Oreochromis niloticus: one gene and its partner. The protein of the gene in region 1 binds, or shares a complex with, the protein of each later gene. Links are inferred from orthologs where the notes say so. Each region holds a gene or a part of one and is shown in the gene's direction. Other genes may lie near its edges.

Evidence for each region.
Region 2: ppp2cab (region 1) and programmed cell death protein 10 share a complex: the UniProt entries of both Homo sapiens proteins name them as parts of the core of STRIPAK complex. The link is inferred for Oreochromis niloticus from reciprocal best matches to the Homo sapiens genes PPP2CA and PDCD10.

The regions. Positions count from the first base shown.
Region 1 is NC_031975.2:22,852,738-22,860,753, reverse strand, and holds the start of ppp2cab (serine/threonine-protein phosphatase 2A catalytic subunit alpha isoform), read left to right. Parts: upstream 1-5,010; 5' UTR 5,011-5,174; coding exon 5,175-5,276; intron 5,277-8,016. UniProt on the Homo sapiens protein: Catalytic subunit of protein phosphatase 2A (PP2A), a serine/threonine phosphatase involved in the regulation of a wide variety of enzymes, signal transduction pathways, and cellular events.
Region 2 is NC_031983.2:17,919,252-17,926,126, reverse strand, and holds the start of programmed cell death protein 10, read left to right. Parts: upstream 1-3,859; 5' UTR 3,860-3,984; intron 3,985-5,454; 5' UTR 5,455-5,586; coding exon 5,587-5,676; intron 5,677-6,875. UniProt on the Homo sapiens protein: Promotes cell proliferation. Modulates apoptotic pathways. Increases mitogen-activated protein kinase activity and STK26 activity. Important for cell migration, and for normal structure and assembly of the Golgi complex.

The DNA.
Region 1 (8,016 bases):
ATCCAGAGGGAGATACTGGTTAGATTTTACTTCAAGGATGCAGCCGATGCTTTTGTGTCCTTTCTGTGCAAAGCAGAAGATGACTGCTTGTTTCTATTGTGACCTTGCAAACAGAAATTTCTAATTATGAGGAGTGCGCTCTCCAAAATTTGCTTGATTACATGAATTGCTGTTGCAGGAGAGGCTCAAATAGGAAAAACAGAGAGCGGGGAAAAACTGCCAGGGACATTTTAATCTGCTTTTTAATAAAAAAAAAAACAGAGGGACAGATGCGTCATTACATCCTCTGTAGGACTGTGTGATTACTGTATGAGGAAAATAGATGTATTGGTGCATTTCTTTCTCTCAAATAGAGCTTAACAATAATAGATGGTGATTTCATTTCAGTTTCAGGGAGATAACATTCCCCTCACTGATGCTGAACATTAAGACTTAAGATCATTGCTGGAATCGCTGGAATGCCCATGATTAATATACACTGTCTGAAGCTATTTAGTTTCTTGATGTCATGTCTGATTGTTATAAGAGTACTCAGAAAATTGAGAAGTAGTTTTTCCTTCAAAAAGTAATTGATGGTTGTGCGACAGCAGCAAAGCTTCACGATTTAAGATAGGATAATTGTTAATTGCCGTGACATACTTGAACATGTGCCAGTGTGTTGGAAGAGCAGATACAGCCTTTGATCTGTGTTATTGTTTCGTGTGTGGCCTCTGTTTGTTGTAAAGGCTGCATTTGCCTTTGAATGGGCCTGGATATGCTCGTGTCAAGCTTTCATAAGTCTGCTGAAAATCTAGAGCTACACCAAGACTGACACGTACTGGCTTTCCTGGATGGTATATGGTTATTCTTTTAGATGTAACCCCTATGACCTCTGTCAGCCTCTGCTCACAACAGTCTTGACACGTCTCTGGCACAAGTCTCATGCCTCTGTTCGAGTATTGGTGGCCTCCTGCTGACACAAGCAATTCGACTATACAGTTAAGTCAGAGCAGCAATACAACAGATGTAGTAAATAATGGAATAGCAATAAAACTGCACTTGCTTGCCTTGAGCTTGTGGTAGTTTGAAGGCAGAATTGTAAATGACTGTGTCCTGAAAATCCTTTAAGGCAACAGTTTTAGTATCAAAACAGACAGCTACTGTAGGTCGAAACTGGAAAGGGATCATTTTGATGGTTAGCACAAGACACCTGGATTTGTATCCACTGGCCAGCTGAGCTGCCCCCCACAGTCCAAAGACATGCTTCCAGGGTTGGTGATTGTAAATTGGCCACAGTGTGATTATAAGTGTTCTCTGCGGCAGCTTGTCCAGGGTGTACCCTGGTGTTTGGCTCTGGTACACGTGACCCATAGATAAGCAGAAGAAGATGGATGGATCTGATACACAGTGTTCTGAAAAAGCATTTGTTTTTGTTTTTGTTTTTACATATTTGTCAAACATTTATTAATTTTTCAGATCATCAAACAAATTTTAATCTTAGGGAAAGAAAACAACATTCAGCGTTTAAGTGATGATTACATTTATTATGGAGAAGAGCTATCCATTGTTAAATCATGAATTAGTTGTGATTAACCACATTTTTTGGAAAGCTGACGTCAATTTCATTAGTGATACGTAAGCCTGATTGCTGCCAGACATGTTGAATCAAGAATCACTTAAATAGAACCTGTCTGACGAAGTGAAATAGGCTAAAAGATCTCAAAAAGCAACAGATCATATCACAATCTCAAGAAACAACTGAGAAACAAAGTCATTGACATTTATCAGTCTGAAAAGGGTTACAAAACCAATGGAGAAAACCTGGAACAGTGATGAACCATCCCAGGAATAAAAAAAAAAAAAAACCCCACAAAGGCTCATCTTACATTTGCCAAAAAAAAATAAAAAATCTTAATGATCCCAAAGACTTTTGGGAAAATGTCTTGTGGACTGATGATGAAAAGTTGAACTTTGTGGAAGGTTTGAATCCTGTTGAAACTGGTGTAAAACTAACACAACATTTCATAGAAAGATCGTAACAACAGTCAAACATGTTGGTGGTAGTGTGATGGTCTGGGGCTGTTTTGCTGATTCGGGACCAGGACAACTTGCTGTAATTGATTGAACCATGAATTTTGCTGTCTAACAGAAAATCCTGATGGAAAATATCCGGCCATCAGTTCCTTTTCTGAAGCTCAAGAACACTTGAGTTTTGGAGCAGAACATTGATCCAAAACACACCATCCAAGTCCAACTGTGAAAAAAAAAAAATCCAAACAAAATGAGGGTTTGGCCCATTCAAACTTTAACAAATTTAATCCAACTGAGATACTTTGACATGACCCTAAACAGATCATTCATGCTGGGAACATCTCCAATGTGACTGAATTAAAATAATTTCACAAAGAAGAGAGGGTCAAAGTTCTTCCACCACAAAGTAAAAGAGCGAAGAGACAAAGTGAAAGAGTGAAAAGACAAAGTGAAAGAGTGAAAAGACAAAGTGAAACAGTGAAGAGACAAAGTGAAAGAGTCAAGAGACAAAGTGAAACAGTGAAGAGACAAAGTGAAAGAGTCAAGAGACAAAGTGAAACAGTGTAGAGACAAAGTGAAAGAGTGAAAAGACAAAGTGAAAGCATCAATTATCGAAAACACTTGTTTGGAGTTCTTACTGCCAAGGGTGGCACAACTAGTTATTATATTTAGGGGGCAATTACTTTTTTACACAGTGCCAAGTAGGTTTGGATAGTTTTTTTTCTTTAATAGATGTTACAGTCCCTGATAATGCTTTAGATGGAGAGACTCTTGAGGGATGGCTGTTATGAGGAAAGGCAGCCCAGAAACTTTGCCAGCAGCACACATCGTTGTGTACCTCAACTTTCGGTCTTTTACCCAGGCTAATCTGCCATTTTCCTTCCTTGGTTAGGTTTAGGGATTAGAGATCGATCTAGATTAGGGTTAGGGTAGGGGGTGATATATATATGTATATATATAAAGACACAATAAAATAAAGACAAACTGACAAATATTGTTCTGGGTGATTGGAAAAGATGTGGGATCACTGCCCCACACAGAGCCCCCAGCTAAAATAAATATGATTTATTATGTTACCAGTTTAATTGAGACTGGGATTAACTGGGACCTGGTTTAGTAAAGTCTCCATTATTTTATATTTTTGCACAATACAAGAGAAGACCTGCTTTGGACTTCACATAACAGTATGATATAATAGGTCTATATTTAGAGTTAAAGAAGAACAACACGTTGTATGCTGAATTGAAACTGTTAAAGCCACAGTCAGAAACTTACAGTGTGTAGTAACTTTTTAAAGAATATAGTTTGATATACATTTCCCATACATATACAGGAGGTTCTTGTGAATCGACAGCAGGGTCATTGCTGAAAGTGTCAGCAAATTTATCCCAAAAAGGTTGTTGCCACATTCTAATAAACTGCTTGATATGGGATGATCAATGTTCACAATTAAAGCTTATTCCCGCCCCCCATTTTTCTAATTCGAAATATTTCTTGAGTTGTTGCTCTCACTCTCAATCACTGAGTCCTTTTACATAATTTCAAAGAACAGAAGAGGCTTGACCGTGCTGATTAATTCACATATAATAAATGGTAAATGGACTGATTCTTATTTAGCGCTTTTCTGCTCTCCCGGAGTACTCAAAGCACCCAAAAACCTCCTTCGAGCCGGAATTGAACCAGCGACCTAAGGATTCCTGTTATCATACACCTACAGTCCTCCGCTCTACCAACTGAGCTATCGAAGGGACATGCCAGAACGTAGGCAATGTAGAAATTCTCCTGGGAACTGTAGTTTTTATCAAGTGCCTCCTAAACAATTCACTATTTGGACACGAGCCGTTTGGAAATAGTCTTATTTAAAGGTGAACTTGGTGTTTCTGTGAAGAGAGAACTTTTTGTGAAAGATTAACTCTGATTATGTTTATTACAGTGATGAAGCATGAGTGCATATGTGTGACGAACAGATGTATTATCAATGAATCTTTAATCGTTGTCTTTGTTAGAAAGTCACTGGCTTTAGGACTGAGTCTGAGTGAGATCACTTGGCAGTTTTGCTGATACCGTACACAAACAATAAACTCCTTTAAATGGGCCTAGCGACCTTTATTCATAACCGAAAACTGAGAGGAATGGATACGATGTGGAAGGTAAGCCTGTTAAAGACAGCGTGGTTAAAAGACAACGCTGTCTTTTGTTTTGTTTACTTTTTTGGCCTTGACAACAAGGAGATAAAACAGTGACATCATAGCCACGCCGAGAAATGCACGGCATGCTTTCACAGAGCCATGACGTATTCTCTTTAGTTTGTGTCGGTAACTTCCCCAATAAACGGCGAGCCAATGAAACTGCATAGGAAGCAGCTCAGCGAACCAATCAGTGAGCAGCCGTCATAGGTCTCTGGTTGCTATTTGTGTCGGGCGGCGCTCTGTTTTTAGTAAAGGTAGACCACACAGTGTTAGACCGGAAATTATTAGATTTTTCAACAATATACAGTCTGACGCAATCTTCATATAATAATAACAATCATCATCGTCATCATAATAAAAATAATATATCCTCAAACATCTACCGTGACCACATTCTGGGAAATATTTTATGTATATTTACCAACCTTTGTCACTGTGTAAGTTTCAGAGTGTGGCAGAAATTAGTTTATTCAGACCATGTTTACAAAAGCTGTTTACATAAAATTAAAATTTACATACGTAGAAAAGTTGTAAAAGGTGGTCAATTAAAACGTAACTCTTTTTTTTTTTAAATTATTTGCCAGATGCTAGTTTTTTTTTCTAGTTGCATTGTTGTTATGTTTAACCCTAGCAAGTTATAATTATTATTTTTTTCTTTTAGGTAAGGGTGTATTTCAGAACTTGTCCGCCAAGAAGCTTTTATTTCGAAGCGCAACCGGAAGTTTGTTATTTGCTCGCCAGCGGCTCGACAAGGGTGGATCCTTAACTGTCACCTCTCCCTCCCTCTCCCAGTTTCAATTCAGTCAAATCATCACAGTGATCTGGCAGTTAGCGATACATGCGCCTGTTAGTAAGAGAGTGATTAGCTTCTGCTGTGGCCGTTTTGTAAGCCCTCGAAAGACGGTAACCTCTGGGAGAGTCCTAACCCGAATTAGCTAACGTGACAAACTGCAGCAAACCCGAAAACACACAGAAATGGACGAAAAGGCGTTTACGAAAGAACTGGATCAGTGGATCGAGCAGCTCAATGAATGCAAGCAGCTGTCCGAGGGACAAGTAAAAACACTATGTGAAAAGGTAAGATTTTATTTTTTAATTCCCTTCCTTAACTTATTGCTAACGTCTTCTCCCTCCTCACCGCCGCCTTCCAGACATTCTTAAAATGGCGTCTATAGTGTATATTTCACTGCGTTGTACATGGATTTGACAATCATTACGAGTTGCCCCAGACTTCTGTTCTGTTTAAACAGCTTTACACCGTGATATGTCGCTAAATAAGAAATTACATGTGGTAGTTTTCGGGCTTCTTGGTACTTTATCGGGCAGGCAGGATGACCCATAAGCTTTGAATTCAAGTCACATACCACATTTACAGCCCTGCTCATTCACACTGACAGTGACTGCAGCATCTCTTTTAGCCGTGCTACTGAGTGGAAGTGCTCTGCCTCATTTTTTCCCTTTATATTTATGTATGGAAGCTGTTAGAAAACAGTAAAGGAAAAATGTGGCCAGCTGGCATCAAAATGGAAAGAGATAAAGTTGATTTCTTGTGAGAAAGTCAGGCTTTTGGGGTCCTTTTATTTAGCCTATTAAGGTTGATTGTATCCAGTTTAGGTGCAGCCACTTCGAGCAATGAAAATGTGAGGAAAAGCTTACTGTATAGCTCTTGGCACAGGGTATGGTGATCAAGGCAATCAATCCAGTAATAAATCCAGCCAGTCAGTTTATGTCAACGAGGAGGTTTTTCTTTCCTGCAATAAAAAAAAGAAAGAAAGTTGGCATCTACTTAAGAAATTTGGCCCTCCATTAAAGGAAAATAACCAGGGGTGTAATTATAAAAAGTTATTTCTAAGTGGGGCTTAGTTTAGTTGAGCTTAAAATACATTTTTGGTTATCCAATGACAAAAAAAATAGCAAATTGCTCAGACTTGTTAATTAAGGTAACACAGTCTGTTTACCTTCACTATATGTGGATGAATAAAGTTTGTTTATGTCGCCAAAGCCCCATCGGTGCCCTAAATGTGCTTTATAGTCTCTGCTGCTCCCAGCCAAAGATAACAAACATGAGAAACCACTGGGCTCTGCACTATCCACCACTTCTTATTTATGCTAAATTACACTGCAAATGTATTTCCTGCTCCTTGTTTCTGTATGCATTGTTCTTGGGTGTTCTCATTCTTGTTTGCTGAGTGCAAAACTTTGTTTCACGCGCCAGTGTCCGGCAGCCTCGCCTCTGTCAGTGTGCCCCAGGGTGGCTGTGGCTACAACGTAGCTTGCCATCACCAGTGTGTGAATGTGTGCGTGAATGGGTGAATAACTGGATATGTAAAGCGCTTTGGGGTCCTTAGGGACCAGAAAGGCGCTATATAAATACAGGCCAGGCCAGGCCAAATGTTGGAATGACAATAAAAATCCTTTAATTTTGAGCCAAGAAACACCCTGAATGAGGGCTAGTCTAAATGAGAGAAACACCTCCTGTAATTTGGAACAATTCGGCAACTCCTAAAACACTGCAAGTTTCAATCAAGACAATTTCCACAAACATTGTACCATCAAAGTCATAATCTTGTTAGTTTTTAATTAGATGTGCCTAATAAACTGCCAGCTGATTGTGTGTGTGATACTTTTCCCCCTCAGCAGCTCTCACAGGTAGTCAGGAAACTGAGTCCTTTATCTACCTTCTGTTTACTCATGTCTATAAATGGAGAGGATGACTTGTTCGAGGCAATAATGTGGGCAGTTTTCAAACTTTAACATGACCTAATGGATGAAAGTGATGTGTGGCGTGAATGGTAGTTTTCACATTTGAGTTCCTTAGTCCTTTGCTCTATTTTTTGCATCACTGCGTTGCATCATTCAGCTTTGGAAACATAGAGATAGTTAAAAATAGCTGAAAAGTGATTTAATGGTAATTTCCCTCAGACGTTGGTTGACCTTTGATGTTATCATCACAGTGTGAAGTTGACCTTTAAGCTGGTGTAAGGTTGTTCCTTCCTTTACTATTATAATTTTTTTTAAAGGAACCTTAATTAACTTGTTTTGAGTGTCATTATGCCCATATGCTTCTGCTTTGGTTGATAACTGGCCATTTGATTTTGTGGTCTGAGCTGAGCTTAACCCCAATCTCTCTGCTCTGTGCTGATTTCCGGCTCTGGATGTCTGGTTGTAAAGGAGCATTTACTCTGAAACATTTTACCACTTTTCTCTCCTCAGATTGTTTTGATTAATACTCTTTTTGTTTGTTTTTTGGATTTGTTTTTTGTGCTTTTTAATCCTGATCTTGATCTGTCTAGGATTTCTGTTTTCTAGAAAGCTCTCTTGCCCAAAGCGTGCTATATATTGTTGCTGCCTTGGGTCATGGTCCATTTTTAGGCTTCCCCCTGCTGGAGAATTGACACCCTGTCCTCTGATTGTTAGATTTATGTGTCAGAAGTCAAGTGACTGACACCATAACTTGACAGCGTGTATAGTGAATATGATAAATTTGCTGTTAGGCTTTACGCTGATAGAAGAGGCTTTTTCTTTTCTTTTCTTTTTGGACAGTTTTCAGAGTCTGTTTTTCTTTTTATGCTGCAGCTCTGCACCCCCTCCTTGACTTTTAAAAGGATACAGAGACTGGGCCCTCTACCATGTTTGGAGTTCTGTGTGCTGAAGTTTAAAGGTCTGGTATTCTCAAGTGGAACGTTAATCCCAACATTTGTTTCCATTTGAGTCCCAGTAGTTTTAAATGCTCATTACACTGTGTATCAGGATCCCAAAAAGGGACTGGATCCTTTCCATAGGGCTTAGAGGGAAGGTGGTGGTGGTGGTCAGTGCT
Region 2 (6,875 bases), on another chromosome or scaffold:
TGTATGTTTTTCCACATTTTCATTCTCAGTGCAGGCCAGTCTCTGTTAAATGCTGCAGCTTGAAGGCAGAGCTGGCCTGCTGAGCCTGGGGTGGTTGCTGGCCGACTCGACACAGGGTGGTGGTTCTGGGAGGACCTGTTGGAATTTGTCAGCATGCTAGTGTCTAGCCACCCTGTGGCAAAAGTGGCCCTAGCCTTGGACTATGTGTTTTGTTCCTTCTGCAAATGGGATGCTGGACTGTATTATATATTATAGCTGGGACTGTTTCTCATGAGAGTATGTCATTTTTTGCCCTCAGCTGAGTCTGTGTGTTACACCAAAAAGCAATTATGATAAATGATTTCCATAAGGCCCACTAGATTTGCACAGCAGCTTTATTTTAAGTTACTGATTATCTACAAGTGTTCTAAATGTGTATGCATTTGTATGCTGATTGGGGAAATAACATTATTTAATTTTCTCTGGAGGTCCCTTGAAGGTTCCGCAAAACTAACCTTGAGCGAATGTACATTCACAAAGTGTGTGTAATCAGATTAGTAAAATGAATCTGTAAGCATGCGAGTATAATGGCTGAAAAGCCTTAAAGTTATGCATTGAAAATGCAAACAAGTTACCAGTTGCAGCTCACCCAGCTTTCTAGTTGGCTGTCTTTTTATATGTGACTTTTGTAACACTTCTCCTGTGGCAGTTCCACAAAAATATATTTATGGCATGATTTCTGTAGTAAAACCAGTTCAGTACTGTCCAATCAACACATGTACAAGTTGGTAATTTAACTGTTTTATAATATTACCTTTAATTTATCCTGCTGTAAATGTCACTGAAATTGACAATGTCCTTTTCAAGAGTAACGTCAGCAAGAAGCGAGCAATAATTACAAGTAGCAACTGAACATAAACACACAAATACAGATGGGGCTCATTACATCCAGTCAAAATAGGTACAATTCAAACTGACCTGAGAGACTTTGGTAAGCTGTATGTGTTTTTACAATTCTAGCAAATATCATCTTAGAGTAGCAGCACACAGTTCCCCAAAACAGCAGCTGACCAGTGAAGAATAGTGGTTTATTGACTGAGAGCAGCTCTAATCATCTAACAGCTGGCTGACTGCTGGAGAGCCTTGGATGACAAGCAAACAGCAGCCACTAGCTCTGGGAGGAAAACCAACACCGATAACTAAACGTAAATATACATATGAACAATCATAATATGTCACTTTACATTCAAATAATCTATAACATCTATGTCTTTTTACTTAATGTTTTTTTTTTTTTTTTTAAATTTGACTAATAATGGGCAAAGCCATGGTGTGCGAGACCACGGTAGCGTTATTAAATGTTAAGAAAAATAAAGCTGCCCACATAATCGGCACTTTATTCACACCAAGTAAATAAACTGTTTCTGGACTTTAATGCACAAGAAGGTAAACTTTAAGTGGCCCTGTCTCCTGATAGAAATATTTGCATAGCCTTAAATCATAAAAATATAATAATCATAAAAACAGATCTCTTGGGGCCCCCTCCTGGCAGGTTTATGTAAATGAAGAGTGAGACGAAAGGTCACACAAACTCGTTTCCTGTGCACAAACAAATTATTAACTGAGAGGTAGTAGCGAACGATGGAAACACCAGCTTAGTCTTAGAATAGTGCCAACTAGCCAAAAGCAGCTGGCTGACCATCTGCAGCATTAATCATATAATCTACAACTCCAGAGGCAGCATACCATTGGCCACTTTTAGATCTTGGTACTACTTCAAACTCATTATTACTGTTTCATAGTAAACTCTTTGGTTGAAATTTTGACTAACATCACAAGACAACCATGAAAACCAATTAAGCTGCAGGCTAGCCCTCATCACTCAGTGGAGGCCAAACACTAGATACAATTCACTTTTGTTACACGCAATAGATAATCTTGGTTTATTTCAGTTTATTTTTATTTGTTCTTGGGCAAACTGGATTGGCTGAGATTAAAGTTAAGCTTCATAACTTTTTTATTTTATTTGACTTTATTGTCTGAAGTGCTGTCCATATATTCTGAATAGGATATTTCACTTGTCTTTATGAACACATTTTACATTTTTTAAAAAGGTTTATAAAAGTATTATTTCATTCATTTTTTGTTTTATTTTAAAAGTTACAGTGCTGTGAAAAAATATTCCCACCTTTTCTGACTTCTTAGTTTTAAAAAGCTTTCCAAACCTACTTGGGCCTACGTAAAAAAAAAAAAAGAAACCCCCAACAAACCTCTCATGAATTAACTTTGATTAGAAAGCTGAATTCCACTAGCCTCACCCAGGCCTGATTACTGCCAGGCCTCTTAAATCAAGAAATCACTTAATTAGAAGACACTAAATTAGACTAAAAGATCTCAAAAAGCAACACATCATGCCACGATCTAAAGAAACAGCTGAGAAGCAAAGTCATTTACATCTACCTGTCTGAAAATGGATTAAAAGCCATTTCTAAGGCCTTGGTACTCCAGTTAACCATGATGAGAGCTGTTATCCTCAAATTGGGACAGTGGTAAATCTTCCCAGGAGTGGCCAGCCTACCAAAGTAACCCCAAGAACGCATCAGTGACTCATCCAGGAGGTCACAAAAGAACCCAGGACAACATCTAAAGGACGGCAGGCCTCACTTGCTTCAGTTAAAGTCAGAGTTCATGACATAATAATAAGGAGACTGGGAGGAACATGACATGTATGGTAGAGTTTCAAGGTAAAACGCACTGCTGACCAAAAGACATTTACACATTTACAACACAACCTATCTTGGTGATCCTCAATACTTTTGGAAAATTATTCTGTGGACTGATGAGATCAAAGTTGAACTTTGTGGAAGGTTTAAGTCCCGTTACATCTGGTGAAAAATAGGACAGGATTTAATTTAAAACAAAAAACATCACACCAACAGTAAGACATGGTACTGGTAGTGTGATGGCCTGAGGTCTGCTTTGCTAAAGCTGCAGTTACTTATTATTTTGTAGATTCAATGGATTATTATAAATCAGCTATGAGCAATATCTAAGTAACACCTGTCATTGATTCAATTATTATGGTCCAACAACACAGTGTGTATGATTCTGTCAGTCATTCTACATAATGAGTACATTCACTTGTTTATTTACGCTTGTGCACTACAGTGGTTTTACAACTTTAATTTAAGCAAATAGTTTGGGTGCCTTTTTCCACTTTGAAAGCAACATTTACCAAATCAAATTGTGTTTAAATTCTTGGGAAGCACCACACCACCACAGCTGAATGTCTGTCTCCATCTCACCATCTCCCTAGGATCCTTTCTCTCATACCAACACTTTGCCTTCACTATGAAATTTTGTTATGGTCCTCCTCTTTACCTGCTCCATGGCAGCTCCATATTCAACACCTATTCTACAATATATCCACTGCCCCCTCCTCTGCACATGTCCAAAACCATCTCAGCCTTACCTCTCTGACTTGGCCTCAGAGCAGCCTTACCTCTCTGACTTGGCCTCAGAGGCTCAACCTCAGCTGTTTCATTTCTTACCCTGTCCAACCTGCTCACAGTGCATCTGCATTGCATTGTAAACATTAGTCAAAATGAAATTAAGCCCAACAAGGAACTGAAGGACACAGTGGAGCTGAGCTGAGCTGTGATGCTGCCATACTGCTGTCTCAGTCCTCAGAAGTCTGGACTCCCCTGAGAACTTACTGAGTCCGAAGGAGAGAAACGCCCGTGTGATATTTTTATCATGAGAAGACAAGACTTCCGCAAAGTAACTCAAAACTCTACTACGTGTACAATGTAACTATTTAAATGACGTCAGAGTCGCTTAATTTATCTGCTCTTTGATTGGACGGTGTGTGTTTACGTAGCAACGGTCCGGAAGATGTCGCTGGGGCCAGTCCTAAAAAACTTCCGCCTTAAGTTGTAGAGAAAACACAGCAGCTAAAAAGGCTATCGACGGCGTAACCATCCCATTTACGAAGTCAGACAAAAGGTAGATACCTGCTCACATTTTTGACACATACTGTAATGACACATTTGTCCTAAACCAGCCGGTTGGCGTGTTTTAGGATCTCAAAAAATATAAATCCAGAAATTACCAGAGCTAGCACGGAAGCTCGGCTCTTCACTGCTAGCAGTTCGCTACCATCGATATGGTCGGCCATAGGCCTCAGGTTGATATTTTTACGGGTAGATCGCGATAAATATAATACTATACCTACCCATTTGTTCTGACTCTTGATTTTAACAGTCTTAAGAAAAATAGCCAGCACAATGTAACGTCTACTTTATATCTACTGGGTTAGCTACGTCCAGTTAGCCGAGTCTCAAATACCTGGGCTTGTATACATCCAGTAAGCTGCTTAAGTGGTTGGGTTAGCCAGCTACCATCGCGTTTGGTTGAAAAATAGTAATGTTAGTCTAGTTTATGTCTGAGAAAAAAATCTAAACATTTGTTTAATGTAAACTTAATGACATCGAGAAGTATTTGGCTAGCCTAGCTGAATACCCCAAATGGTATTTAGGAGGCTAATGTCTGATCTACATCGCCAAACTTTTTTTTGTTGTTAATGTAATTCCTGTCATTCCTTTTGGACTTTTACATATTTTGATATGAATCAATGCAATTATGAAACGGGTTGGTGTCTTGCTTGTAATAAGCTCTTCTATTCCGTCAACTGTCATATTTTCACATTGATGTTTGGTCATTGAAGGTTTGCTGTCATCAGCCAGGTAACTGTGCCACTCCCCTTCTCCAGACTCACAAAAGAGCAGTGTTTGAATGGCAATGGCAGCTTTATTTATATAACACATTTCCTCTTGCGTAAACGTGATTAACACAAATGATGGAAACATTAAAAACCTGTGTAGGTTTGACAGTCTCTTAAGGCAGTCAAAACGGCAAAATAAAACTTTTTGGGAAAACCTAAGGTTTTGAGTCAGCGAGCAGCTTGTTCCAAAGAACAGGAGCACAGTAGCAGAAAGACCACTCGGCAAACTTGGATCTGATTTGAGAAATATTTAAAAGATCTGCACCTGATGACCTGAGAGGTTTGATTGGGTTAACAGTGAGTCAGAGATAGGGAGGGGGGCAAGCCATTGAGAGCTTTATGAACTAATAGGAAGCTTTTGAAATGACTTCAATACTGGTCAATAGTATTAACTACTAATAATATGGTCAGTGTGGTTTTCCTTTTGTCTGAACATTATAGAAAATGCTAGTTAAACAGTATTGAGTCGGCATTGCAGAATAAATATCTGACATTAATGAATTAGACATTACAGTGCATAAATACCAAGTACAAATAGAGGTTATAAGGAATGTGTCATAGTGATTTTATAAGTTATATTTATTATTTCGTATGTTTGTTAGGGTGTTGAGAAGTTTTAGTTGTGGATCTATTTTTATAAATCCAGTCTCTTCATTTACACTGTTTTACTGTCTCACATTTTTCTTCTTCAGGCTACTATACTCTGGAGTTTGGGTGGTTTTGAGCGTGTGTGTGTGAGTGTGACTGGTTGAGTGCATGTGTGAGTGTATGTGAGCTGCAGATTCTTCCTCACTGTTACAACCAGAGCTGCTCCTCCCTGGAGGATGACAATGGAGGAGATGAAGAATGAAGCGGAGACAAACTCCATGGTATCCATGACGCTGTACGCCGTGATGTATCCAGTTTTCAATGAGGTAAAATCTCCAAAAGTTGAATCTGTTCATCTGGACGTAGCGTTTTGTGGGAGAAACGTTTCGTCACTCATCCAAGTGACTTCTTCAGTCTCAGCTGACTGCAGGTTTCCCCAAACCTTATAAACAGTACATTTGCATAATGACTGAAACCAGCCCACTGAAGGAACAATGGGCTGTGAGGTCAGTTCCTTAATCATAATTATGCAAATTCCCATGAGGTAAAATATCACATGCTGGGGACAAAGGTGCTGATAGTTTGCCTGGACATCCCCTCATCAGGAGATGTCCAGGGAAGCTATTAGCATCAGCATGCCTGTATGAGAAACCAGAGACCCAGTAACGCATTTGAAAATTTATAATAATGAATCTGCATAGCAGAAACAAAGATGCATATACAGTGCTGTGAACAAGTATTTGCCCACTTCCTGTTTTTTTGTTTTGTTTTGTTTTTGCATATTACATACAGTTACATGTTTCACATCAACAAACAAATGTAGATATTAGAAAAAGATAACCAAAGTAAATACAAAATGCAGTTTTTAAATGATGATTTCATTTATTAAGGGAGAGACTCAACTTTGATTAACCACATTTTTTGGAAAGCTGAGTAGAACGTCAATAGCCACACCCAGACCTGATTACTTGGTGAATCAAGAATGACAAAGCGAGGTAGGTAGGCTAAAAGATCTCGTAAAAAACGTGTCATACCATGATCTTAAGAAAGTCAAGAGATAAAAATGTCAGTCTGGAAAGGATTATAAAGCAATTTCTGAGGCTTTAGGACTCCAGTAAATCAAAGTGAGAACCCTTATCCGCAAATGGAGAAAACATGGAGCAGTGGTGAACCTTCCCAGGAGTGGGCACCCTACCAAAAATACCCCAAAAGCACATCAACAATGTATCCAGGAGGTCAAATGAACCCAGAACAACATGAAAAGGACTGGAGCCCTGATTTGCCTCAGTTAAGGCCTTTTTTCATGATTTAACAATAAGAAAAATGGCATGGTATGGTATGGGAGAATTTCTAGATATAAACCACTGTTGGCCAAAAGAACACAAAGGTTTGTCTCATGTCTACCAGAGTTTTGGAAGGTTTGAGTCCTGTTGCATCAGCATTTCATAAAAGAAAATCATACCAACAGTCAAACATGTCTGAGCTGCTTCAGGACCTGAATAATTTTCCATAATTGAGGGAACCA